4 linked regions of the Arabidopsis thaliana genome follow. The protein of the gene in region 3 purifies or fractionates together with the protein of the main gene of each other region. This does not show direct contact. Each region holds a gene or a part of one and is shown on either strand. Other genes may lie near its edges. The genes, in order: AT2G31610, AT2G42270, SUS2 and MAC3A.

Region 1 (3,891 bases), on a different chromosome or scaffold from region 3:
TACTATAACATGGAGCTTTGGGGGAGGCTTGCTTGTTGAAGAGACATTATGACCAGCATCCTTTAAAGCTTTAGCCACATGCTTTTGGGCTTTCTGGAAGTGTATATTACACAGTGCAGGAACAGTCGACGCAAGTGTTGGTTTTCCACAAAGTAATGGTCCTGCTGGGGCTCTGAATGTACAATGGAAACAATGCAGAGTTAGGTGAGAATTGCTTAAATTATCATTATATGCTAATTACAAACCAGCATACAAACTTACCTATATATGAAATCTAGGTTGTAAAAACTCAAATCTGAAACTTGGTTTATGTTTTAATACTACCACAATGGGACTATTCTAACACAAATACATTTTCAAAGGGTGATATAGTTATGCTAATACTCATATCCTGACTATTTTACAAATACACATCAAAACAGACAACTTCAAGCATCTGCGTCAGTTATGTGTATCAACCAGAACAACAAAGCACATAGAGCAATATTTTAACACAAGGCAACTACTGAATCTATAAATGATTACCGACGATCACTATCTCGATGTCCAAAGCTAAGACTTCTCCCAAACCCTATGAAAAACTTTGAAAAAAAGTCAAGTGTCAATCCCAAATCCTTTCTGCAAACTTGAAAAAAAAAGAGAAACAATCTCTTGGCTCACTACATAACACAAAACAGCTTTGCAGTTTCAATTCATCATCACTACAACATCTTCACCAACTATAATATGCAAAGAACACAACTTGAAGCATCAATTACTTTGGTTTATACGAGAATTTTAAAACCAAATAAAGGGAAAGTGAAACAAACCGTTTAATGACGTTTGTGCAACCAGTGTAGAGCTTCTGCTTACTATCCTTGAGAATATGCAATTGACAGTATTTCGTAAGCGCCATAGCTTTAGCTTTGCATCCATACATACAACTCCCACAATTACTATTCGCATACTGATCACTCTTAACACCATCATTGTTAGTAACATTGTCTCCACTACCTTCAACAGCATCACCACCATCTCCGATATCTCCCTCTTGACCAAGCCTCCGTCTCTTATTCGATTGATTATTTTCGTCTTTAAACTGACTAATCCCATACTTCCACCAATAATCCCTGTGTTGTGCCTTGACATCCTCCATTAAAGCCCAATAATTGTCTCTATAACACTTGGCCAGCTGCTTCAGGTTGTGTGATCGGCGTTTGAGAAGCTCCGACCGGGTTATGTGACTGGAGCGTGCGAGGATTTCATCTTCTTGTGACATCGTAATCGGTGAATTCGATGTCGACGGTAAGCCGCTGGTGCTAGGGTTAGGATTTAAGGTAGAGTTTCGAATTAGGGGCTCGGCTGAGGTGGAAGCCACTGCGGTTGTTGATGCAGCGCCGGAGGAATACGGAGGCCGTGGTGGTTTCGAGGAGAAAGGGTTTTGCTGAATGTTCTTGGAAGCTGACGCCATTGCCGTCGTCGGAAAATGACAGAGCTTCAAAATCAGATGTTCTTGTCGGGAATGAAATTATTAATTTTTAAAAAATAATATTAGTACTTAAATTTTAAAATATATTAAAGCCCATAAAATGTCCATTGGGCTGACATATTCAACAAATAGGCCCAAACTCAATTGGATGTGAGACCTAAGTTTCTGAATTAGGTCAATATAAATACTAAAATCATATCTGATAACGAACACGAGCTTACCGATTCTCTTCGTCTCAACATTTAGGGTTTCAGAGATCGGCTGATTTTCACATCCACAAGTATGGCGACTCAAATCAGCAAGAAGAGAAAGGTGAATTGTGATTTCATTTTTTGTTTTCAGTGGACTTCTCTAGCTGTATCGTATTGGAACTGATCTGGTTACTGTGTTTGTAGTTTGTAGCGGATGGTGTATTCTACGCTGAATTGAATGAGGTTCTCACAAGAGAGCTAGCAGAGGATGGTTACTCTGGTGTTGAGGTTAGGGTTACTCCAATGAGGACTGAGATTATCATCAGAGCTACTCGTACTCAGAATGTTCTTGGTATGTTTGTTTGATCATTTCTTCTCTCTTTCGATTTTGAATGTGTTTCGAGATCTGATATCGAAAATGTTGGGTTTTAGGTGAGAAGGGGAGGAGAATTAGGGAATTGACATCTCTTGTCCAGAAGAGATTCAAGTTTCCAGTTGACAGTGTTGAGCTCTATGCTGAGAAGGTTAACAACAGAGGTCTCTGTGCCATTGCTCAGGCTGAGTCTCTACGTTACAAGCTTCTCGGTGGTCTTGCTGTTCGCAGGTACGACATTTCTCTAGTATGTTTTTGTGTATTCTCTCTCAATTGCTGTTGTTATTGTTTAGCTTACTTGGTCCTAATAGTGAAATGTATAGGATACAACTGTAATTATATTTCTCAGTGGGGTTTCTGTAAATGCGCACTCTTTATAGATTTTGTGTAATAGTTATGTTTCTATCTACTGAACACACTGATGATACATAATGTGTCGACAAGGCTATTGCATCTCTTTTTTCACTTGAACTTCTCATCCTTAATATTGCAATGGTATATTTGATATACAGGGCCTGTTATGGTGTTTTGAGATTTGTTATGGAGAGTGGAGCTAAGGGATGTGAGGTCATCGTGAGTGGAAAGCTCCGTGCTGCACGTGCTAAGTCCATGAAGTTCAAGGATGGTTACATGGTTTCATCTGGTCAACCAACTAAGGAATACATCGATGCTGCAGTGAGACATGTTTTGCTCAGACAGGTATGCTTTCTAATGAGTCTCTTATCTACCATTTAGTGAGTAAGTATACCGGCTTTGTCTAATCTTGTTGGTTCAATCCGTATTTGCAGGGGGTGTTGGGAATCAAGGTGAAGATCATGCTTGACTGGGACCCTACGGGCAAATCAGGACCAAAGACACCATTGCCTGATGTTGTGATCATTCATGCTCCTAAAGATGATGTTGTCTACTCTGCACCTGCTCAGGCTGCTGCTCCAGTTACTCTTGTGCAAGAAGCTCCACTCACAACCGTAGATTACCCTGAGATGATTCCTCCAGTGGCCTAGAGAAGACCTTTTTTACTATTACTCCATGGGATTTTGTTCTTTTTGTTATAACTTTTCTACTTTTGACACTCTCTAGTCGTATCTCTTATATCCTCCAAGCAGACAAGTTTTTTCTCATGTTGTTTCTTAACCTATGTCAAGTTTTCTGGAGGTTGAATGCTTTTAGTTCCATGATTTTTTTGTTCTTAAGACTCGTAATAAGAAAAAGAATGACGACAACAATGCCTGGTATTTGATGTTGTTACTTTGAATTATCATTTTGCTCAGAACACTTTATTCGAAAATAACAAAAACTAAAATGTTTGGAGCTCTCATTATCTTTTACGGTTTTACAAAAGGATAGAGCTCGTACCTAAAAGTACAACTCGGATTCAAAACTCTTCCTCCTTGTTTACCGTTGCAGCATCTGGGAAGCTTTGCAATAATCGAATCCAAACACACACTGCAATTTTTAACTGATAAGTCTTGTGTACACTGCATCATCCCATACAATTTCGTCGTCCCGAGACTTTCCTCCCCCGCTGCATACATGTAGTCTCTTGTGTAAGGCTCTTGTTCTTTACGAATTGCTTTCTCCTTGAGCTTATCTAGGAGAGCCTTTGTGTTCTTGTTGAACAACTTTTTATTGCCGCTCACATCTTTGGCATTGTGCAAATACAAATAGTGCTTGAAATCAATCTTCTCGTAGGTATATATCTCGGAAATGTAGAGAAAACAGTTGTCGTACCATATTATTCTCCCTCTGTTGTTCGGACATCTCCTAAGAATCTGTCACATATTTACAATATATATAAATATGTTGGGACATATTTCCTAAGAAATGCTAAGATATAACTAAAACTAATGTATGCATGC
Region 2 (7,949 bases), on a different chromosome or scaffold from region 3:
GCACCTTTTGGCTAAGTCCTTTGTGAAGTGAGGAAGCTGCAGAAGCATGGAGTCTCGATCCCACATGCCTTGAGTCACCATCTGGCTTACTTCCATAGCTAAAAGAGCAAGATTCAGACAGCCATTGCTCGATATCACATCGACCATTGCTTGAAGAAGCCTTGTTGCTGATAAAAGGACCTCACACTGATCCATTACAAGGTTCCCGCTGATTTTTTGCCTTGAGAAATGCGCCTGAAGAAGTGCGCTTGTCTTCACACGAGGGTCTGTGCATCTTGGGTTTTGAAAAGAGAACCTCTGGTGATTGATGAGTCTCCGAACTGCGTCCTCTTCACCAGGACGTATAGGAATCAAGTCATACTCCGAAGCTGAAGTCAAGATCTCAAGAAGACCCTTCATCTTGGTCTTGGAAGCCAAGAGAGAACTGAATCGCTCAATGGTGGTGTAATTTATGTAGTAATATGACGCAATCATACCAAGATTGAGAGGAGAGAGATCCAACTCATTGTCTATTTCAATGCATTTACTCACTTCAAGATCAGACAAAGTGTTTTCAACGAGCTCTGAGAGGTGATCAGATAAATGTCTGTGGCTCACTCCCAGGAGATTGTAGTAGTTAGGGTTCTGGGGAAGCCTCCTGTACATGAAGCTCCAGGTAAGATAATCCACAGCATCTTGTTTGTTCTCTATAACTCTAGCAACTACTTCTGCATTGAAATTATCATGCAAGAAATGTTGAAGATGACTCTCAACCGGAAGAGCTTCATACAAAAATTTCTTGTAATACTCTTTACGTGGTGCATGACAGAAGATCACACACTTCCCAGCGTCGTCAAGCAGAGGTCGGCTACCACGCCCCATCATTTGGAGCAGATTAGAGATGGGGTAATCCGAATGAGAATTTTCCCGTCCATCGTAGAAATGTGTTCCCATTACAACAACCAAATGTGCCTTCAATGGAGTACCCCAACACAATGAACTAGACATTACACATACCTGAATCCGTCCAGCTTCAAAAAGCTGAGTCACAATCTCCTGATCCAGATTGCTTAAACCCTCGTGCAGGTAGCCAATGCCATGGCGTAAAGTCTCCTTCAGAGTTTCCTCACAAATTTGTATTAAAAAAGGCTCTAATTCTTCCAGATTCCCTAAAAGGAAATCAGGGCTCTTCATGTTGTCCATGTGCGAGTATGCTATCAGATCCACAGCAGTAAGGCGGACATGTTTACGGGTCGGGACAAAAACGATAGCTGGTTTCTTGTTCTTGGCATGCTGTACTATGGCAGTGTATGTTGGCTTAGTCATCGCCTGCATCCTGGCTTCAAAACTCAATATGTCCACCCCATGAATGTGGATCTCCAGTGGGACAGGACGAACATTAGGCGGGAAGTTAAAAACGCCACATGAACTGGCCCCAATCCACTCTCCAAGATCTTTGGCATTTGCAAGGGAAGTTGATAATGCAACAATCCTGATTTTATTCCCAACCTGACTTGAAATATATCTCATTCTAGAGACAATTACCTCCAACACTTGACCACCTTGACCCCCAATTAAATGAAGCTCGTCAACGATAAACAAACTAACCTGCTGGATATATTTTCTCTGTTTCCACCTCCGGGACAGAGCGTCCCATTTCTCAGGAGTACTTATGATTATCTGACCTTTCTCAAGCAACTTAAGATCCAATAATGTCTCCCCAGTTAACTCAACAACCCGTAAACCAAGCCCCTTTCCGAACTTTTTCTCCCAATCACGAAACTGCTCCTTGGCAATAGCCTCAAGAGGTGCTATATAGACAACACGCATTGCAGAATCAGGTCCTTCGAGATGATTCCTTAATATAGCAAACTCCGCACATATAGTCTTCCCACTTCCTGTTGGAGCAGCAACCACTACATTGTCACTTGTGTTATACAAAACAGTAAAGACCTGAGTCTGCACTGGATTGAAATGCTTGAAATCCTGATAAAGAGTTTCATAAGAAGGATTTCTTAGGGCCATCACCGGGAGGGGCTGCAAATCCAGTAGCTCTGTAGGTGGTGGGTATTTTTCTGGAAGAATAAGATGCCTGAAAGATACAGGTAACACAGTCGGCGAGTCAAGCCATTTGTCTGAAACCACTCGGATGAAATACTGTGGGGGAATTGGCTCAGAGATTGGTACAGTGAAGTTCAAAGTGTGGTCCTCATCAATAACCCGTTTTTTAAAAAGAAAGTACTCATGATGAAGGATCTTTTCACCATCATTGTCTTCCACAATTATCCAAAACGGTTCAACATATTTATTTGCTTTGTCATCCCAGTGGAAATCAGGTGTCACCGTGAGCTCAACCTGCAGAACAGAACGAGAAATCGGCTGAACATGTGCTGCAAGTTTCAGTTTTGGGAACTGATGGATATACTTGTGAAGTGGTCTGCCCATCTTAGGATTACAAATAAGCTCTCCTAGCTCCTGTGAAGATAGATCATAGTACCTCTCCCACACCAGATCGTTTTTCTCCAACTTCATCAGAATCTCCTTGGGAATTCCAGGAAACTGCCAGAGGGGTGTCTGAACACTCCACATCCTCTTCCCTACCATTTTAGACAAGTTGAGAGCTTTCTGAGACAGTTGAGCCCACCCCCTCTTCAACACAATCTCAAAAATAGCTCGTAACAAACGTCCAGCACTTTGGGTAATATAAACCATGTCAGATGTCAAAGAAAGACCCTCGAGCTTTAGCTTTGAAATATATACTTGCAGCAAAACGTTGATCTTTGCACTGGGATCTTCTAGTGTTTCCTTTACCGGAATTGGTACACGATCCAAAAGCTTTGCCAGTTCCATCTTCTCATCTTGTCGAACAGTGACATACTTGAACTCCTCACTCAGAGAGAACAGACGACAAAGCTCTATATCATTCATTGTTGGCTTCAGATTCTCATTGTATGCAGCTATTGTTCCATGGCTTATGTAGTAGTAGCTAGCAATGCGTCCCAAATCAGTAACCTGGAAGTGTCCACTTTTCCTGTCGTACTTAATCAGGTTGTTCTTGTCCAAGATAGTGGCAGCAGAATGTATCAGATCAGCTCTTCTCTCCTCCAATAGCAAGTCTTTTGCAAGGGCATCAGGCGATACGCCATACAGTGTCGGATTACGAACCATGCGGACATATAAATATGTATAGCCAAGCCAGTGGCAAGCTTCTCTAGCATTCTGAATGGTTCCAAGCACAATTTCAGCATTGAGCTGATCAGCAAGTTTGGAAATAAACTGGCTTTCAATAGGTAGTTGCTCATTCATCAAACGAAGATAATACTGTAGCTTGCTGTATCCAGTGATTATTATTCCCTCCCCTTGTTGGTCATATTGAGGTCTTCCGGCACGACCAATCATCTGCATAACATCTAAAGGACTCAGCTCCATCCACTCCCCTCTCTCAGGATTATATACTTGGGTTCCTTTGATAATGACAGTATGTGCAGGCAAATTCACACCCCAGGCAAGAGTTGCCGTGGAAATCAACACTTGCAAATTCCCCCAGCGAAATTGATTCTCAACTATCTCACGATCAGTCCTTGTCAACCCAGCATGATGAATTGCAAAACCATAAGGCAGAAGCTCTTTCAGGTCATTATTCTTGAGAAGTCCAGCTAAACACTTAAGAATTTCACGACTTTGACTATCTTCCTTCAAGAATCTGCTGAGGGTATCATTTGCCATAGCTGTGTCCCGTATTGCCCTTGCAGTTTTTGCTGTTTCCTTCCTCGAATGAACAAAAATAAGGACCTGGTGTTTTCCAGCAACAGCCACTACTTTCTGATAACATATATCATTCATCAACTGGAACCTCCGTAACGGCTTTTTCACATTAATTCCTATATACTGCTGACCGAGAGGCACAGGTCTGTAGCTACGGTCAAATATAAACAACCCATTTTTAAGATCCACTCGCAAAAATGAAGCCACATCGTCACAATTTGGCAGTGTTGCAGATAAACCTACCAGACGAATATGCTCCTTTGTGCTTTCAATCTGCCTAAGAGTCCTAGCGACAATACTTTCAAGCACAGGCCCTCGATTATCATCAAGAAGATGAATTTCGTCGATTATAAGAAGCCTCACAAGCTGTGTATAAGTGCGATCTCCAGATTTCCTGGTGATGATATCCCACTTCTCTGGCGTTGTAACAATTATCTGAGTCTCTTTGATTTCTTGCCCAGTAAGGGACTGATCCCCACTGAGTTCCTTCACAGTAACTCCAAAATCCTTCAAACGTTGAGATAGACTATCCACGACCTCAGCAACAAGGGCTTTCATTGGTGCAACATAGACAATTTTGTAATTACCATGATTAAACGTTCCACCAGGGTTCATATTCAATCCAAGCTGGTGCAGTATGGTGAGCACGGCAACATTGGTCTTCCCAGCACCAGTTGGAGCACAAAGAAGAATGTTGTCAGCCTTAAAAAGAGCAGTGCCGTACACTTTGCTCTGAACCCTATTCAACTGCTGCATTCCCCTAAAAGCTGGTTGGGCCCACTCTGGCAAATCGCTAATTTTCACAAGCTTTTCATTACTATCAAACTTTTTAGAAACCCACGGCACATGAACCTCATCAAATTCCTTGCCACGTATTCTGAAAGAGCGATCAGGAAGCTCACACTTGTTATTCTCCCTCGTGAAACCACCTTGGTTAAAAGCAAGGCTCTCCAGGTCCATCACCTGACGCTGGCCCTTCAACCAACCATTCTCCAAATCTAAATCATCAACATCTCTCATGCCTCTGTCTCCGTCAACACCAGAATCATCATCCATAAGATGTTGAGCTTCTTCTTTGATATCTTTCTCCCGTTTCTCCTCCCTTTCTTTGGCTGTTGCTCTTTTGGCATGCAACTCCTTAACAATTGCTGCCAACTCTGAACCTAACCCCAACATCTCCTCCTCAATTTGATTCCTCTCTTCCTGGTCTCTTCCCCTAGCCAAACGGGTGCACCACACAACTTTAAGACGGTTTTGCAACAGAAATTTAACAAGGCTGAACTTTTCAAACTGAAGGTGCTCAAGCAGCTTGATCTCAACATCCCTATCATTACCCTCAGCAAGTATCTTAAGCAGCTCTTCTGCGAGTTCCTGGCACTCTTGTGCATCAATCTTCTGCTCATATTCTTGAGATATCTTTCTCTGAAGCCAATAAGCATCAATATCCAGAACATTAAGACTCGTATCCTCCTTTGCCTGTCTTGCATCCTCGCCGTTTATTGCCACACCCACCTGGACAACTCCAGTTTTGTTAAGCTCAACAACATCTTCATCCTCCTCATCTTTTTCATCCTGGACCATATCAAGATCACTCTCATCATCATCCTCTTCACATTCAAGGGCAACACCAATATCATAATCAAGTCCTCCATCCTCACTAGCTTTACCACTTAAAGAATCACCACCCTCTTCATAGTCTGTAATCAGTTTTCCAATCGAAACAAACTGACTGAAAACCTGATCAGTAATAACGTTTAGTAGTTTCTCAATCTCTACCTTCTTTTCATGGTTTTTGACGGATTCATTCTTAAGAACTGCCAAAATCTCATCAGCCGCACCGCAAACAATGTCCAAAGGCTGCCCACCCAATTGCTGCTGGATAAGACCAAGCATAATCTCAAAAGCAACCCTTGTTTCCTTAGTCTTCGGCTGATAAACACCATCCTCCGTATCATTAAGTACACTCACCTCCCTAAGACGAACTCTTTTGCTCTCACGAGCAGACACCAAATCATCACAACGTTCCTTCTTCTTCTTAGATTTATTAAGCCGCTCATCTAACTCATGAGGCCTTCCCCTAACGACACGATCTCCAAAGGATTTCGGATCAATCCTACCCCTGAGACTCTCCGGTTCACCAGAAGATTCATGCGTATCACGACGACGCTCATCACTGTTAAGAACAAGACTGGAATTGACTTTGTACCCATACTGCTTCAACCTGGCTTGCTCCTCCGCACCACCACCACCCAAATTCGTCATCACCAAATCGGAAAAACAAACCCCAAATTCCAAGAATTAAATCAATGAAACAAAACAAAATTCGGAACGAAAAACTCTTCTATTACCTCTCTCCCGTTCTCCGTAATCGTCGTCTTAAGAATTTGATCGAGTCGATGAGTTTTTTTTTTTTTTCGTTCAACAGTCTTATATATACACCCTAAACAAGTCTTAAACCGACAATACATTGTCGGCCACAAATTCCAAACCCACGAAGGCCTGTCCGGAAGCCGACTAAAATTATGGAATTGTCCGGTTCAATCCGTTTTAACTATAATTAGAAGAAAACATTAATTAGAGTTGGTTCTTGATGAGTGTTTTCGTATAATCAGAGCAAGTTATCGTATCATTAGACCGTACCAACTAGCCAATCCGGTTTTCTGGTATTAGTAAAAAGCAGCGGTTGGATCCTATGACAATTAACGGTGAGGATTCGATCTTGAAAGCAATGCGTACGTAAATAGAATTGGGCCACAAGCCCAGTTTTATTCAGAAGGGCAAAATTGAAATCTGACAAAGAATTTGACGAATTGTGACAATGTGCGCTTTGAAAAAAAACGAAATTTATCCCGCGTGAGATGAAAAATTCAAAATATTTCACACAGGTGAAACCACTTTGACACGTGCGAGCTCGAAATTTTTCATTTTCAATTACAAAACCCGCCTAGAAAATGGTCTAAATTTTGTTTGCCAGATCGTCTCTCTCTCAAAAGCTTTTCTCTCTTTTTCTCCTTTGTCCCCTCCACTTTACCGTTCACGAAGCCATTCCGAGCTATCACGAAGGAATCTATTGAAGATTCATAGGTAAATCCATGGTTTGATTTGTTCAAGTAGGTTCTTTGTGATGTGACGGAGATTTGTTGCGAAAACGAAGAGTTGATCTCTTTTTCTTGTTGTTTATGAGGTTTCGAGAAAATCTGATTAACAATGGAGAACAAGACTGAGTTCTTGGGTTTTAATGTTGCGATTTCGATTTTGGGTGTGTTCTAATGGCATAGTTGTTTGATTTCTTCAGCGCTCAATCACAAATGCCAGAAGCACGAGATCGAATAGAGAGGCAAGTTGATTACCCAGCCGCATTTCTCAATAGACGCTCGCATGGTATTTTACTTGACGAACCAGCAACACAGCACAATTTGTTTGGGTCTCCGGTTCAGAGAGTGCCATCGGAAGCTACAGGAGGACTTGGGTCAATTGGTCAAGGATCTATGACGGGAAGAGGTGGGCTTGTGAGGGGTAATTTCGGTATTCGGCGGACTGGTGGTGGTAGAAGAGGTCAAATTCAATTTAGATCGCCACAGGGACGAGAGAACATGAGCTTGGGTGTTACAAGGCGTGGAAGGGCTCGTGCTTCAAATTCTGTCTTACCTTCTTGGTATCCAAGAACGCCCCTCCGTGATATTTCTGCCGTTGTTAGGGTTAGTTCACTAAACCTAGTCTCATTTTGGATTTGTCTGCTTATTCTTAGATTTAACTGGAGTTTTTTTCATTGATATATAGCTAATTTGTGATCTGTTTATATCTGGTTTGTGATTTGCATATTGGTTCAGAATCTGCTGCTTATAAGCTAGATTAGTCTTCTGTAACAGGCTTGCTTAGCCTCTTTGTTAACTATATCATAAGTCATAACCTGTTACCAAAAGGCTTGCTTAGTCTGGCTATTTACAAACTCTTATATGCAGGCTATTGAGAGAAGGAGAGCTCGTATGGGAGAAGGTGTTGGCCGAGATATTGAGACCCCAACTCCACAACAACTTGGGGTTCTTGATTCTCTAGTACCGTTGTCAGGTGCTCATCTCGAGCACGACTATTCTATGGTTACTCCCGGTCCATCTATTGGATTCAAGCGTCCTTGGCCACCCTCAACTGCTAAAGTCCATCAGATTTTGCTCGACATCACAAGAGAAAACACAGGGGAAGAAGAT
Region 3 (5,009 bases):
CAATCGGCACAGGTAACCCAGGGACCTTCCATGGGATATTAGCTTTCCAGCACCGCCATGCCTCACTAAGGTGCTGCAATATAGTCCGCGCTTTATTTTGCTTGATACCCTCTGCACATTATCAGAAAATGTTAACCAAAGAATAAAGCAAAGCAATTTCATCGTTGATAAACAAGTTTGTAAAAATGGAAACCTGGCATAGCATCAAGGACGTCATGCATGACAGCAGCCCGAAGCTCCAGATCAAAATGGCTTTCAACTCTCTGCTTTGTGACTGTTTTGGCCACTCCTTTTGAATGACGCCCCTCAAATTGACGAGCAAGAAGATTCCCTAACCATCTTTCAAGAAGAGGAACTATACCCCGAAGGAAAAACAACCATACCCTCCACATTGGAGCCCAAAATCCACACCCTGGACCCTTACCCACCGGACCAGTATTGAAACGGTAATATATCAAGTGCTTTAAATCCTTGCACATCCGAATCTGCCTCATCAGTCTGTATTTATAACGATACATACCCGTCAACTGGCCAACATGAGAGAAAATATACTGCAGACCATCAGCCAATTGGAAGGCATCGACATTACCAAGTCGGAATTGGACATTTGCATCAACTACAAGTTTTGTCAGGCGGAGGATCTCACGGCACAGATGGAAAGCGTTCCCAAAACGTGACTTCTTTCGCTCTTTGGTGGTCAAAGTTTTCACAGGCTTGAGGTTGAAGTTGTAGTCAAGATGCAGGTAGTTTAAATTCTTCCTATGAATCAGCAGATTCAGCATATTATATCCCTGCCGACAGACTTGCAGACCCACTTCAACCCAATCCAGTTCGGTACTTTGGAAAAACTTTGTAGCTGCAAGAGATCGAAACAAGTGCTTCTTCTTCTGAGCTTTAGGCGGTCTATGGTGCAACTCATTCAGCACATAGCACTTCAATAGCTTTTGGTAACTAACCCGAACTTTAACCGGATAGGCTGGAGGACTGCAGTTAATGAGTTCACAATATGTATTAGGACGGTCACCAGTAAATTTCAAAACGGTAAAGAGGACCAAAGTAGAATAAAAACAAATAGCTTACCAGTGCTCTTTGAACCACTCTGACACCAAGGGAATATCTTCTGCGCGGCGCGTCCTCCCAGACCTCATATTGAAAGGTCGTGGGGCAAACAACAATGATATGCCAGCAGCTGTAGTGTCAGTGTAGAGTTGGGTATCTCTTAGCAAAGGTTCCACACCTTCTGGTAAGGCGAAGTCATCCTCATCATCATAAACCTTCCTTTCACGTTTTTCCTTGTTGGTGTTGCTTATTGGGTGAATCAACGGATCATAATAAAATGCAGGAAGATCGGGATCCTCGGTCTTTATATACATGATCATAGGACTGTGATACACACAGAGTTTTACTTTCCTGGGCCGATTATTGTAGAGATGGGGAAAAGCTATTCTGTACTCAGTACGCAGAGGGGAACGAATAATGAGCTTGTTGATGTCATTAAACTCATTCCAGTCCTCATCCCCTTTCTCCATATCACGGTACAAAGGTTCAAACTTGGGTCCACCTGGAAAAGAGTAGGAGAATGCATTAAAAGCAATGGACCCGCAGCAAAAATATAAAAACTGGAGCATAGAAGGAAAATGGCGTACCAGGTATGCACATGTTCAGAGCTTTTGCTGTGAAGAAAGATGGCATGTCAAATAAGTAGAAGTAGTTGCGATCAATCAAATCAGACAGCAACTGGCCTGCAAGCCTGTGAAGGGTTGCCATGATTGGAAGTGAGAGGTTCCACCTCCGGTAACTGGGACCATTAATCAGTTTTGTTTTAACGAGTGGCTTGTGGTCGTAAAACCAAGTGTGGACAGCAGAATCTTCTTCCTCATCTAGCTCCAATTGAATTGGCTCCAGAGGATCCACGTCCAGCAAGTTGTCTGCATAGTCTAGTGGAGGCTCCTCATCATCAAAAGGTGGGAACCGCATTCTCTTGAAATGACGACGATCCCTCTTCTCCCTTCGCATCATAATCCACATAGTACCCCACTGCAAAACAAGAATGGAATAACCATCAAAAGCTATTGAAAATCCATCAGCGCACAGAGACAGTAAATAAGAGATAAGACTAATCACCAACCTGAGCCATGTAAATAGGTTCCACAACCCATGGTATCTCGTTCACAAATGTAATAGCTCCGGTGATGTGGTACAAAACTTTTACATCTCGGACCTGAAAGAAAATGAGGATTTAGATAAATGAACAGACGATGAAAACAGCTGAAGCTAAAGGAAAAAAAATGTACCTGCTCCCAGGGCATAGGCATGTTCTCCAAGAGCTTGAAAACTGCGTGAGGGACGAATTTAAGGGCTCCAAGGTATACACGTTTGTCGTGACGGAATTTCTTGGATGACATATCACCATGATCTCTGAAGTAAGAAAGAAATCGCAGCTTCAGTCTCAAAATAAGTAAATCCTAACCAAATCTTAGAAACCTAGCCAGAAAATAATTATCAAGTAAACTGTATTTCGAAATGGTAGAGAAAGAAGAGAAGAAAACTAGCCTGATGATCTTCCTGACGTGCTCAGGTGGCATGTCCTCCTTCTGAGTTTCAACGAATCCAAACTTCCTCTTGTCGCCGTACCGTTTGGAATTTAGCTGCATCCATTTTCGGGCCTTCTCCTCAAGCTTAGCCTCCGCTTCCTCAGGAGTAGGCTCGACCGGAGGAGTCGGATTAGAAGGCGGCGGAAGCGCCGTGTAAGAAGGATGAGCAGCGGGAGGTGGCGGCATCATGGACCCGCCAGTACCAGGAGGAGCTAAGGGCATACCATCGTTGTTGTTCCACATAGCTTAGGGTTCCAAATCGAAACGCCGAGCGTAGTCGCGGAGGAAAAAAACCCTAAATCCACCGCGCCAGTGTCGATCTCTAACTACGTTGCGAAGAACTAGTGAGCTTAATCGAGTAAAGAAAAACCCTAAAACATTTTCGGGTGAGTCGCTTCTTCCTTTTTTTTTTTTTTTATTCCCGTTCGGCCTTATATCAGCAGATCAGGAGGAGTAAGTAAAAAAAAAAAATAGGCGGTGTCGAACAGATGCTTAGGCGGTTATCCAAACCCGCTAAGTATTGTCGAATCAAGTTATTGGGCCTTTGATTATTAGATTTGGGCCGTGATGCCCATTGACAAACTTTAATTTGATTTTTTGTTTTGGCATTTATTGGGGAGCTATATAGCAGTAATTGCGGTTTTTCCCCGGAAAACAAACTCTCCCGATTCTCTCGCTCGCTCGCTCAGCTCCTCAACAGTCACCTGAAGGCTGAAGAAGAAGAGCAAAGAGAGCAGAATCTTGTCGGTGAAAATCCGGGAGAATCGGCAATGCGAGAAGAGCATAGTCCGGTTAGGGACGGTCGTCGAAGTGGAGGACTGAGGTCGTTGATAGATCCACGCTTCTTGTCATCGTTTGCTTTAAACGACGGTGGTTCGATTTCTGGACGGAGATCTTCCTACCTGAAACTTCCTCCTCAGGGTCGTATCAAGCTTTCCGTCGTTAAGCTCAACGGCTCCCTTTTCGGTACGATTTTGCTTATCCAGTTTCCGAAATAGCAATTTTAAGAGTTTAGTTTACAATCAAGCTCAACGGTTCCCTCAGTTGGTGATACCCTAATCGATCTCTAATCCGGAATTTTTTGTTGCTGTTAGAAATCATTGTTTAAGAGCCTTAATAGACATAATTTTGGATGAAGTATCAACTAGTTTTTTGGTTACTGTTTCTGATTTGGCCTCTCAAGAAGTTAAATGGTTTCCAACGAATCAATAGATGTGGAAGTTGCAAAGGATTGCTCAGTGGCAGAGCTCAAAAGAGCTGTGGAACAAGTATTCACCATTTCTCCTCTGGAAGGTCACGGCATGATTTCATGGTATATCATCATTTCATATGAAAATTCTCACAGCTTAAGCTTTCTGGTACAGTCGTTCACTTTGATCTTTGCCTACAGGTCTCACGTCTGGGGTCATTTTTGCTTGTGTTATCGAGACCAGAGATTAGTCAATGACAAGACTAGCATCCGTTATCTCGGTCTCAATGATGGAGACCAAGTTCGTTAAACTCCTTCTCACTTCTATATAAGAATCGTATGCACGCAATCTCATTCCTTTGAAAGTCTTAACATCCCTTTCACTCTATTTCAGTTACATTTCGTAAGGCATTTGTCGATAGACCACTCTCCTATGAACAAAAGATCCAAGAGCCCGAGTTGCAAGCGGTACCTCGAGTAAGTACTTTGTAACAATCTTCCTATATCGTCTCTGCATTTCAATGCTCTGCTAAAGAATCCTTGTATGGTAGGTTGGATGTGTCATCCATTGTCAACGAAATCCAAATACAAAACCAAAACCAGAACGGTGTGGATGATGTAGCTGAGAAGTGTTATCCAGGAGCACAAGACGAGTTACCGGCAGCAGAATCCAGACTAGTTAACTTAATTAAAGGATGGTTGCCATATGCTGGACGTTGGGGAGTTTCCAGAAAAGGACCCGAGTGTCGCAGTGGTCCCTCCAGATTTTCTTTGAAGCATTTCGGTGGCAGACCCAAGATGTAAATCCGTAAGTCACAACCTCTTCCTATGTCCCCTTTTTAATCTCTTCCAATGATTATTGGTTTATGAATTTGTTGTCCAGGATTGTATCAAAAGATCCATAGTTTTACAAATTTCATATCTATCTTCATGCATTGTGAAAGCTGAAGGAAGGTACATTTTTATTCGCATAAATTCAGCCTAGAACACAGTAGTAAGATCATCTGATTTGTGATAAAACAAGAATGGATTGAGTATTTGTGTTGATTTTGAATAATTTTGAAGTAATATGGCAAGGTAAACCTTATATAGGCTGAAAATGGTTAAACCCATACCAACCTACTGAGCCCAATAATTGGCCTCACCATTTTGCTGGTCAAACCTATGTTCCACCCGAGAATCTAAGAATGACACGCCCCACCACTAGCATATGCTCATCTTCTTGC
Region 4 (6,562 bases), about 29 Mb from region 3:
AATATTTATTGATTGAAAGATTTTAATAAGAGTTTATTTGTTGTTTAGCTTCCTTTTTACCACCTACTAGCTACTAGTGACCTTTGAATCTTATTCCAAATAAGTATGTCTCTAATCTAGTTTAAAGTCTAATCTTGTTTTTAAAGTCATTTAGTGACTTACTTTGTGTAACATTCTGGTTTAGTAGTTGGTTACTTTGGAAATTGGGTTTAGAGAAAGATACAAACTTTCTTGCACTTACTTGATTGTTGATACCAAAAACATGTTTAGGAAATTTAACCAATAACGGAATTACTAAAGATGAGCTATAAATAGGAAAAAAAAAAAAAAAAAAGGCCAGAGAGAGAGAAAGAGTTGGAGGAAGTGAAAAGGAATCTGAGATTGGTGGGGGAATGGGAAGATTGTGAAGTGTGTGTTTTGACCACAGTACAGTCAAAATCTCTGTCTGTCTCAGGGTTTTCTAATTTCTATGACCACCATCACAATCTTTTTGTCTTCATTTCATTGTCTTCAAGATTCATGACCCTTTCTATATAACACAAGTTTTTTAATTGTTGCCGTTTAGGTCCTACTGATTTGAATGATGAAGAAGATCATTTACATGCCTGTTCTTCATTTGCTTTTATAGTGAGCAGCTAACTTTGTTTTATGTGGACTCTTTCAGATCAAAGAGAGAAAGATCAACTGCAGATCCTTAAGGTACGATGTTGTTACAGGAAAATTGTTGACTGAGAAAGAAAGGGAGAGAGCTCAGGTGTGTATATGTGATTGTGAGAGGGGCCATCAGGAAAGTACCAACAGAACTGTAAAGATACAACAAAAATCGCGAGAATTGAGGATATAGCTACTCTTGATGATGAGACTTTTGAGATATCTCTTCATGAATCTTGTGCTGAATCTTCAGTATTGTCATCATCAGGTAAACCAAATATCCTGAGATTACGGTCCATTGAACCGACTGCTATGTATTTGGAGTCGAGTCCAAACTTAACACTTGTTGCTTTACCTGCACATTTATGTAGTTACAATGTCTGAATGATAGACTCAATAAAACAAGGAAGAGCAGTGACTTCAAAAGCTTAACATGTAGCATTTACCTGTACCGGACAGATCGGGAAGAGTCTTGATTGGGTTCCATTCTGCTTTTACACTAGCTGCTTGGAATACTCTACAACATTGAAGCACAAGTTTTCGATTAGTATGATTTGCAGAAGAAACGTATACATATACCCAAACTGCATTTCTGGTGATAGCAGGTTAATTGAGTTTGCACAACTATCTTTCAATATCTCGTTATCAAAGTGAGCTCCTATATCAATTAATTCCCAACATTGTGTATCAAAGTAGACCTCACCTTATATCTGAAGCAGCAATGCCAAGATAAGATCCGCTATGGTCAAACTCCACTGCACAAAAAAAGCTCATTCAGGCCTTAAGAAATGAAAACTCACTCAACAAAATAGACTAGTAAGAGTGCTCAGGTAGTTGAATACCCGAGTTTGCATCTGGAAAGTCAAAGGTTCGGAAGTTCTTTAACTTGCGCAAGTCCCACAACCTAACACCATCCAGTGCAGCAGTCTGTACAATTTAAAGAATAGTAAATATTGGTCAGTCAAAAGGAACCTGGTGCTATCCTTCTTTCTACTTAGTTTAGGTCAATCAGTCAATGTACCCACCGCAAGGAAATAACCGTTTTCAGAGAATGATATAGAGGTGATTTCTCCATTGTGTCCACCAAACTTTGCCACATTTGCCTATCAAACGACAGAGATAGAGATGAGAGTGAAGTGAGAACAAACTTACAAGTGACAACAGTTGATGAGCAAGGAAGGTCAAAGAGTTTTTACCTGACTTTTTACATCCCAAATCTTAACAATAGATTGAGCGGTACCAGTTCCAAGAATGAGACCATCAGGATGAAAAGCAGCAGCCGTGTAATTCACGTCGTTTTCGGAAGCATCTGTCACCTGAATAACAACAATAATGAGAAAGACGCATGGCAGAAACATTTATTCTAACGAGTCTAATTCACATTACAATAAAGAAGGTAAATGTTTCATTGTTATATTAGCATAAAAGAAGAAATCTGAAACTGGATAACAGGTATCAGGTGTGGATTAAAATTTTGGAGACCTGAGCAAGGCATAAACCGGAGGACAGATCATAGAAGCACCATGTACTGTCAAGTGATGCTGACACAAAGTATTTATTCGTTGCGTGGACAGTTACAGCTCGCACCTGAAAACCACATCATTGCTTTTACGTTAAACAGACCAAAAATAAATAAAACGTAAAACTGTATGAGACTGTAGCCTGTAGAAGTTCTTCAGTTACATCCTTACCTCGGCAGAATGATCTTTCAGTGTATGTCTAGAGGTATAGTTCCCATCCTCGGAACATCCCCAGATGCGGACTGTCTGCAGAGTGTTAAGAAATGAGAAGTTAATCTCTTCACTACTACTCCATAAAATCATGCAATCCTCAAAGGAGCTTGTACACATAACCTTAGCTTACCTTGTCGGATGAAGCAGTTAACACAAGATCAGTGTCACCAACGAACTTGATGCTTGTAACCTGCAAAAGGAACAATGCATGTCAAGCACAAAACTACAAAGGAAAAGTTAAAAAAGAAAATGAAATATAAAAAAAGAATACAGTAAAAGACAGACCTTCTTTGAGTGACCAGTCAGCGTTGATAAGATTTGTCCTGAAGGACGATCAAAGAGAACGGCAGTTGTATCAATTCCTCCCGTAGCGATGACATCCTGATTACCACATATAACGAGAAATTAAGAATAATACTAAATAGAGAACAGACACAGGGATTCATGGTAGTGTACAAAATCTATATACTGAAGAATAATATTGATAAGCATCCAGATGGGGATTCATGGCAGTGTACAATATAATGTAAGCGCAAAAGTAAACATGTCACTATGACGTTCAATGCAGTGACTTCTCAGGACAGAGAAAAACTACATAAAGTGATGAATGGAAAATAGAGAAGTTCTTAGGTGTCAAACCTTAGAATGTAGGATGTCCATTGAAAAAATTCCAGGTTTGTTGGTCTTGTGAAGGGGGTGGCTTGAGAGTTGGGTGAACTTCTCCAGAGCATCGACTGAAGCCAATGTTTTAGGGATCTAGAGAACCAATGAGGAGAAATTATTAAGACAGAAGAACCACTCGCAAATCTAATTGAACTCCAAAAGTGCAGATATCCATTGTATGTTACAGACAAACTATATATATATGTAATTCTCTTTTGCCTTCTATTTCCACTAATATACTGATATATGCAGTTACCTGTCTCTTTTTACGCTGCTGAGAAAGAGCAGCATTACAATCTGTGAGTTCTGTGATAACTTCAGCCGAAATTCCAAGACGCATTTTCTTTGCATTAGGCCCCTGCTCACCATCATCGATACCTATATTGCAACCAAAAACATAGTAGCTTGTTATAAGAGAAATTACCACATAGCCAACTTACATTGAGAAGCAAACGTGCAAGCATACCTCGTTTACCATTACTAAGAGCAGCATTCGATGTGGCAACTTCGGGGGCTGCAGGCAACTGCCTTTCAGCCTCTGCAAGCAATTGTCGTGATTCGTCTCTTTCTTTTTTAAGCCTAGCAATCACACGACAAGCAGCATCATGCTGCAAAGGAAAAGTGTATCCCCCATCAATCACCTTTTATCACAAGAAATAAATGGAAACATCCAGGAAAAGAAACTAGAATACATAATAGATATTTGTAATTCATGTAGTCTGATAAGGTGGTGGCAAATGCACCTAACCATAATTACCTGATACAAAGCGTGACTTAGCTCTTGCCTCGCAGTATGCAGTTGTTGTTCCAAAGCAAAATTTGATAGCATCAAACTGTCCCATTCCTACAAGCACAACAAACAGATAAACTTTTTAAGCATTTCTTTTGCCTAAAGTAAAAATAACCAGCGAACACTTTCGTCTTGCTATTAGTAACAAATGAACATATAATTCAATGTAAAGAGTAGAATGCAATCTGCTATGTTAAATAACTCAGATAGCGATGCATACCCAAATCAAGTTCATCCATTTTAACTCTATATGATCCTTAATAGACAGAGAACAAAATTCAGAAACGAAAAAGAAGGTATAGGGAATACAAAATAAGAACTTACAGTCTGAAACGTTCCAAGCAATCCAGGGATGCTAGCTGTGTGTAATGGTTTCGGCTTTACGATCTGCAAAATGGTCCCGGAGATCGAATCAGGCTTAAATAAGTTTCTACAAACAATGCTGTGTGACAAATAACTCCAGTGGTTGCATTACCTTCCCAGTTTTGATGGGAACAATGTCATCAAGAGTATGTGGCTCACCAGTAACCGGGCATTTCCCATAATCCTACAAGGTACCAAAAGCAATCTATAAATTATCACAACAAAGTCTGTATTAAGAAAATATCTGCAGCAAATAGAGAGGTGCAAGAGGCTAAACAGCTGAAAACCCTAGATAAGAGTCGAACGAGGGAGAAAAGAAAAGAACTTGCTTACGGATATATGCGTCTGGATTAGCCGCTTCTCGTAAAGCAAACCCGACTTCTTAGAAACCACAGGCTCCTCCGGAACTTCGCCGGAAACTGTAGAGGAGAAAAGACCACAGTGTTACCGACAGAAACAAAGCAAAATAAAACCCTAAATCGGTAAATAGAGAAGAAAGAGTGCCTTACTTGCACAATTCATCTTCTAAGTATAAACGAAGAAGAAGAAGTATACGCAGGACTAGAAGACTACTCGGTGAATCTTTAAATAGACTGGGCTAGGGTTTTAACTACTCCGGTCCGGCGCTACTAAACAAAATCGCAGAAGCCGGGAGGACGATGAAGACGGAAAGAGAGAGAGATGCAAAAATTGTTTAAGCTTAGGACAACAAGTTAGAGATTTCTTGTTAAACAAATGGGCCTTTTAACGAGACCTTGATTTATAACTAATTAGGCTTTTTTCTGAAGCCCATTAGTTAAACTATGTATGTTCGTTCATTCTTTCTGTCTGAGAAAAGAAACTCGAAAGTATAATTCTTACCCTTTTTTTTGTCATTCTTTTCTTTTATTTTTTCTGATTACAAATTCTTTTAAAGTATAAGGTAGGACAACGATGTACGGGCCATTCTATTTGCACGTACGATAGATGTGTTCTTTATGAACAAAAATTAGTCATAGCCGAAAAGTAGTATTCTCATAAAAAGCATATTTAGTATTCTCATTTCTCAACAATTAACATAGCCGAAAAAAGAACCTTATATGAACAAATCATTGGTCATACTATATTTTCATTTTTTATTAAAAAAAATTAGACTTCCGATTTATATAATATTGTCTGAGAGTTTGGTATTATAATATATTTGTGATAGCTCTGCAAAACTTAAATCATCTCGTTTGGAAAATGCGTGTGTGTAACACTGCACTCAAAGGCCAAAGCTTTTGCCGAAGATGCTCATATATATCTCCAAAGTATCGATTCATCAAATCAGCTTTGATCTCAAGCTGTTTCTTTTTCCTTTTGCCACCAAGTTGCTATTTTTTTCTTTCTCTTCATTCTGTTCTCGTTAAATGATTTCTTGCAACCTCATTAATTTCCAATTCTTAAACGTATGACCATGTTTATTTTATCACATACTGTATATAAGTTTAAAAAATTGCCTGAGTGGTGATATGTATTTTATATAATACATATAGTATATGTACATATTGTTAAACAATTTGAATGAAATAAAATTTTGGATAAATATCAGGAGAAAAAAAACTTAGATAGTCATGCTAATGATTTCAAATAATGCTTCATAGAGTTGGGGACCAAATAGAATGTTGATAAGTGATGTGATGATGTCCCGTTCCCAACCATGACCAAAACAAATAAACTAAAAAAAGCTAGAGGAGAACGAAAAAAAAATCGTCGTAATTACAATAGTAATTAATTAATGCGTATAGTCAATGAAAGTTGTTTTTAGAAGTTTTGAAGTGAAGGGATATTTTGAACTTAGCTGAGTAATAGTCCATGAAAGTTAGATTATTCACCTAGCTGACATTTTTTCATAGTTTGGGAATTCTTTATACGAAAAAAAAAGATAAAATAAAGGTAAGACCATGTTCGTAAAAAATTGTAGTTTCATATATGGTGTTTTTTTGTTAAAGTTTCATATATGGTGTTGATGACTATATAATCTATAAATCACATTGGTGTACCTTTATTTACGTTATCTAAGTCGATATATATTCCGATCTATAAAAGTATCTTTTCATTTGTATGATCAGTTCATTATTTGGTTATGGTTGTAAGGAAAACAACATATATAGAAAACGACAACTCGAAGCATGGTATGCTAAAACTATCACTGTAACGAATTTTTATCGAGAGAAACCATCTTGATATGAAATTTGTAGTTTCCGAATTTAACTAAGCATCACGTAACATTTTTTTTCCCCTCGAAATTTCCATAAAATAAATACATTTGACTTAGTACGATCTTTATCTCTTATTTTCAAAATTTTCACTGACCTGGTCTCTTTTTCTCCTTCTCTTCTTT

Evidence for each region.
Region 1: the proteins of SUS2 (region 3) and AT2G31610 fractionate together in Arabidopsis thaliana (co-fractionation; one large-scale study listed by BioGRID). This does not show direct contact.
Region 2: the proteins of SUS2 (region 3) and AT2G42270 fractionate together in Arabidopsis thaliana (co-fractionation; one large-scale study listed by BioGRID). This does not show direct contact.
Region 4: the proteins of SUS2 (region 3) and MAC3A purify together in Arabidopsis thaliana (affinity purification with mass spectrometry; 2 studies listed by BioGRID, with this or other methods). This does not show direct contact.

What each region holds. Positions count from the first base shown.
Region 1 is NC_003071.7:13,448,634-13,452,524, forward strand, and holds AT2G31610 (Ribosomal protein S3 family protein), read left to right. Parts: upstream 1-1,607; 5' UTR 1,608-1,750; coding exon 1,751-1,780; intron 1,781-1,863; coding exon 1,864-2,011; intron 2,012-2,091; coding exon 2,092-2,263; intron 2,264-2,544; coding exon 2,545-2,731; intron 2,732-2,820; coding exon 2,821-3,036; 3' UTR 3,037-3,349; downstream 3,350-3,891. Other genes in the region: AT2G31600 (INO80 complex subunit D-like protein), read right to left, coding at 1-172, 810-1,450; AT2G31620 (Receptor-like protein kinase-related family protein), read right to left, coding at 3,358-3,804.
Region 2 is NC_003071.7:17,602,387-17,610,335, reverse strand, and holds the start of AT2G42270 (U5 small nuclear ribonucleoprotein helicase), read right to left. Parts: upstream 6,007-7,949; coding exon 1-6,006. Other genes in the region: UVI4 (uv-b-insensitive 4), read left to right, coding at 7,053-7,442, 7,707-7,949. UniProt on the Arabidopsis thaliana protein: RNA helicase that plays an essential role in pre-mRNA splicing as component of the U5 snRNP and U4/U6-U5 tri-snRNP complexes. Involved in spliceosome assembly, activation and disassembly.
Region 3 is NC_003070.9:30,115,880-30,120,888, reverse strand, and holds the start of SUS2 (Pre-mRNA-processing-splicing factor), read right to left. Parts: upstream 3,043-5,009; 5' UTR 2,838-3,042; coding exon 2,554-2,837; intron 2,419-2,553; coding exon 2,295-2,418; intron 2,222-2,294; coding exon 2,129-2,221; intron 2,038-2,128; coding exon 1,647-2,037; intron 1,562-1,646; coding exon 1,081-1,561; intron 985-1,080; coding exon 194-984; intron 112-193; coding exon 1-111. Other genes in the region: AT1G80060 (Ubiquitin-like superfamily protein), read left to right, coding at 3,365-3,560, 3,807-3,906, 3,985-4,084, 4,178-4,260, 4,335-4,587. UniProt on the Arabidopsis thaliana protein: Functions as a scaffold that mediates the ordered assembly of spliceosomal proteins and snRNAs. Required for the assembly of the U4/U6-U5 tri-snRNP complex. Required for embryo development.
Region 4 is NC_003070.9:1,224,909-1,231,470, reverse strand, and holds MAC3A (MOS4-associated complex 3A), read right to left. Parts: upstream 4,989-6,562; 5' UTR 4,723-4,988; coding exon 4,710-4,722; intron 4,620-4,709; coding exon 4,534-4,619; intron 4,385-4,533; coding exon 4,313-4,384; intron 4,225-4,312; coding exon 4,162-4,224; intron 3,892-4,161; coding exon 3,805-3,891; intron 3,656-3,804; coding exon 3,514-3,655; intron 3,426-3,513; coding exon 3,304-3,425; intron 3,141-3,303; coding exon 3,024-3,140; intron 2,766-3,023; coding exon 2,670-2,765; intron 2,575-2,669; coding exon 2,515-2,574; intron 2,418-2,514; coding exon 2,343-2,417; intron 2,239-2,342; coding exon 2,134-2,238; intron 1,968-2,133; coding exon 1,848-1,967; intron 1,755-1,847; coding exon 1,677-1,754; intron 1,579-1,676; coding exon 1,494-1,578; intron 1,407-1,493; coding exon 1,355-1,406; intron 1,169-1,354; coding exon 1,098-1,168; coding exon of another isoform or gene 1,092-1,097; intron 1,007-1,091; coding exon 879-1,006; 3' UTR 524-878; downstream 1-523.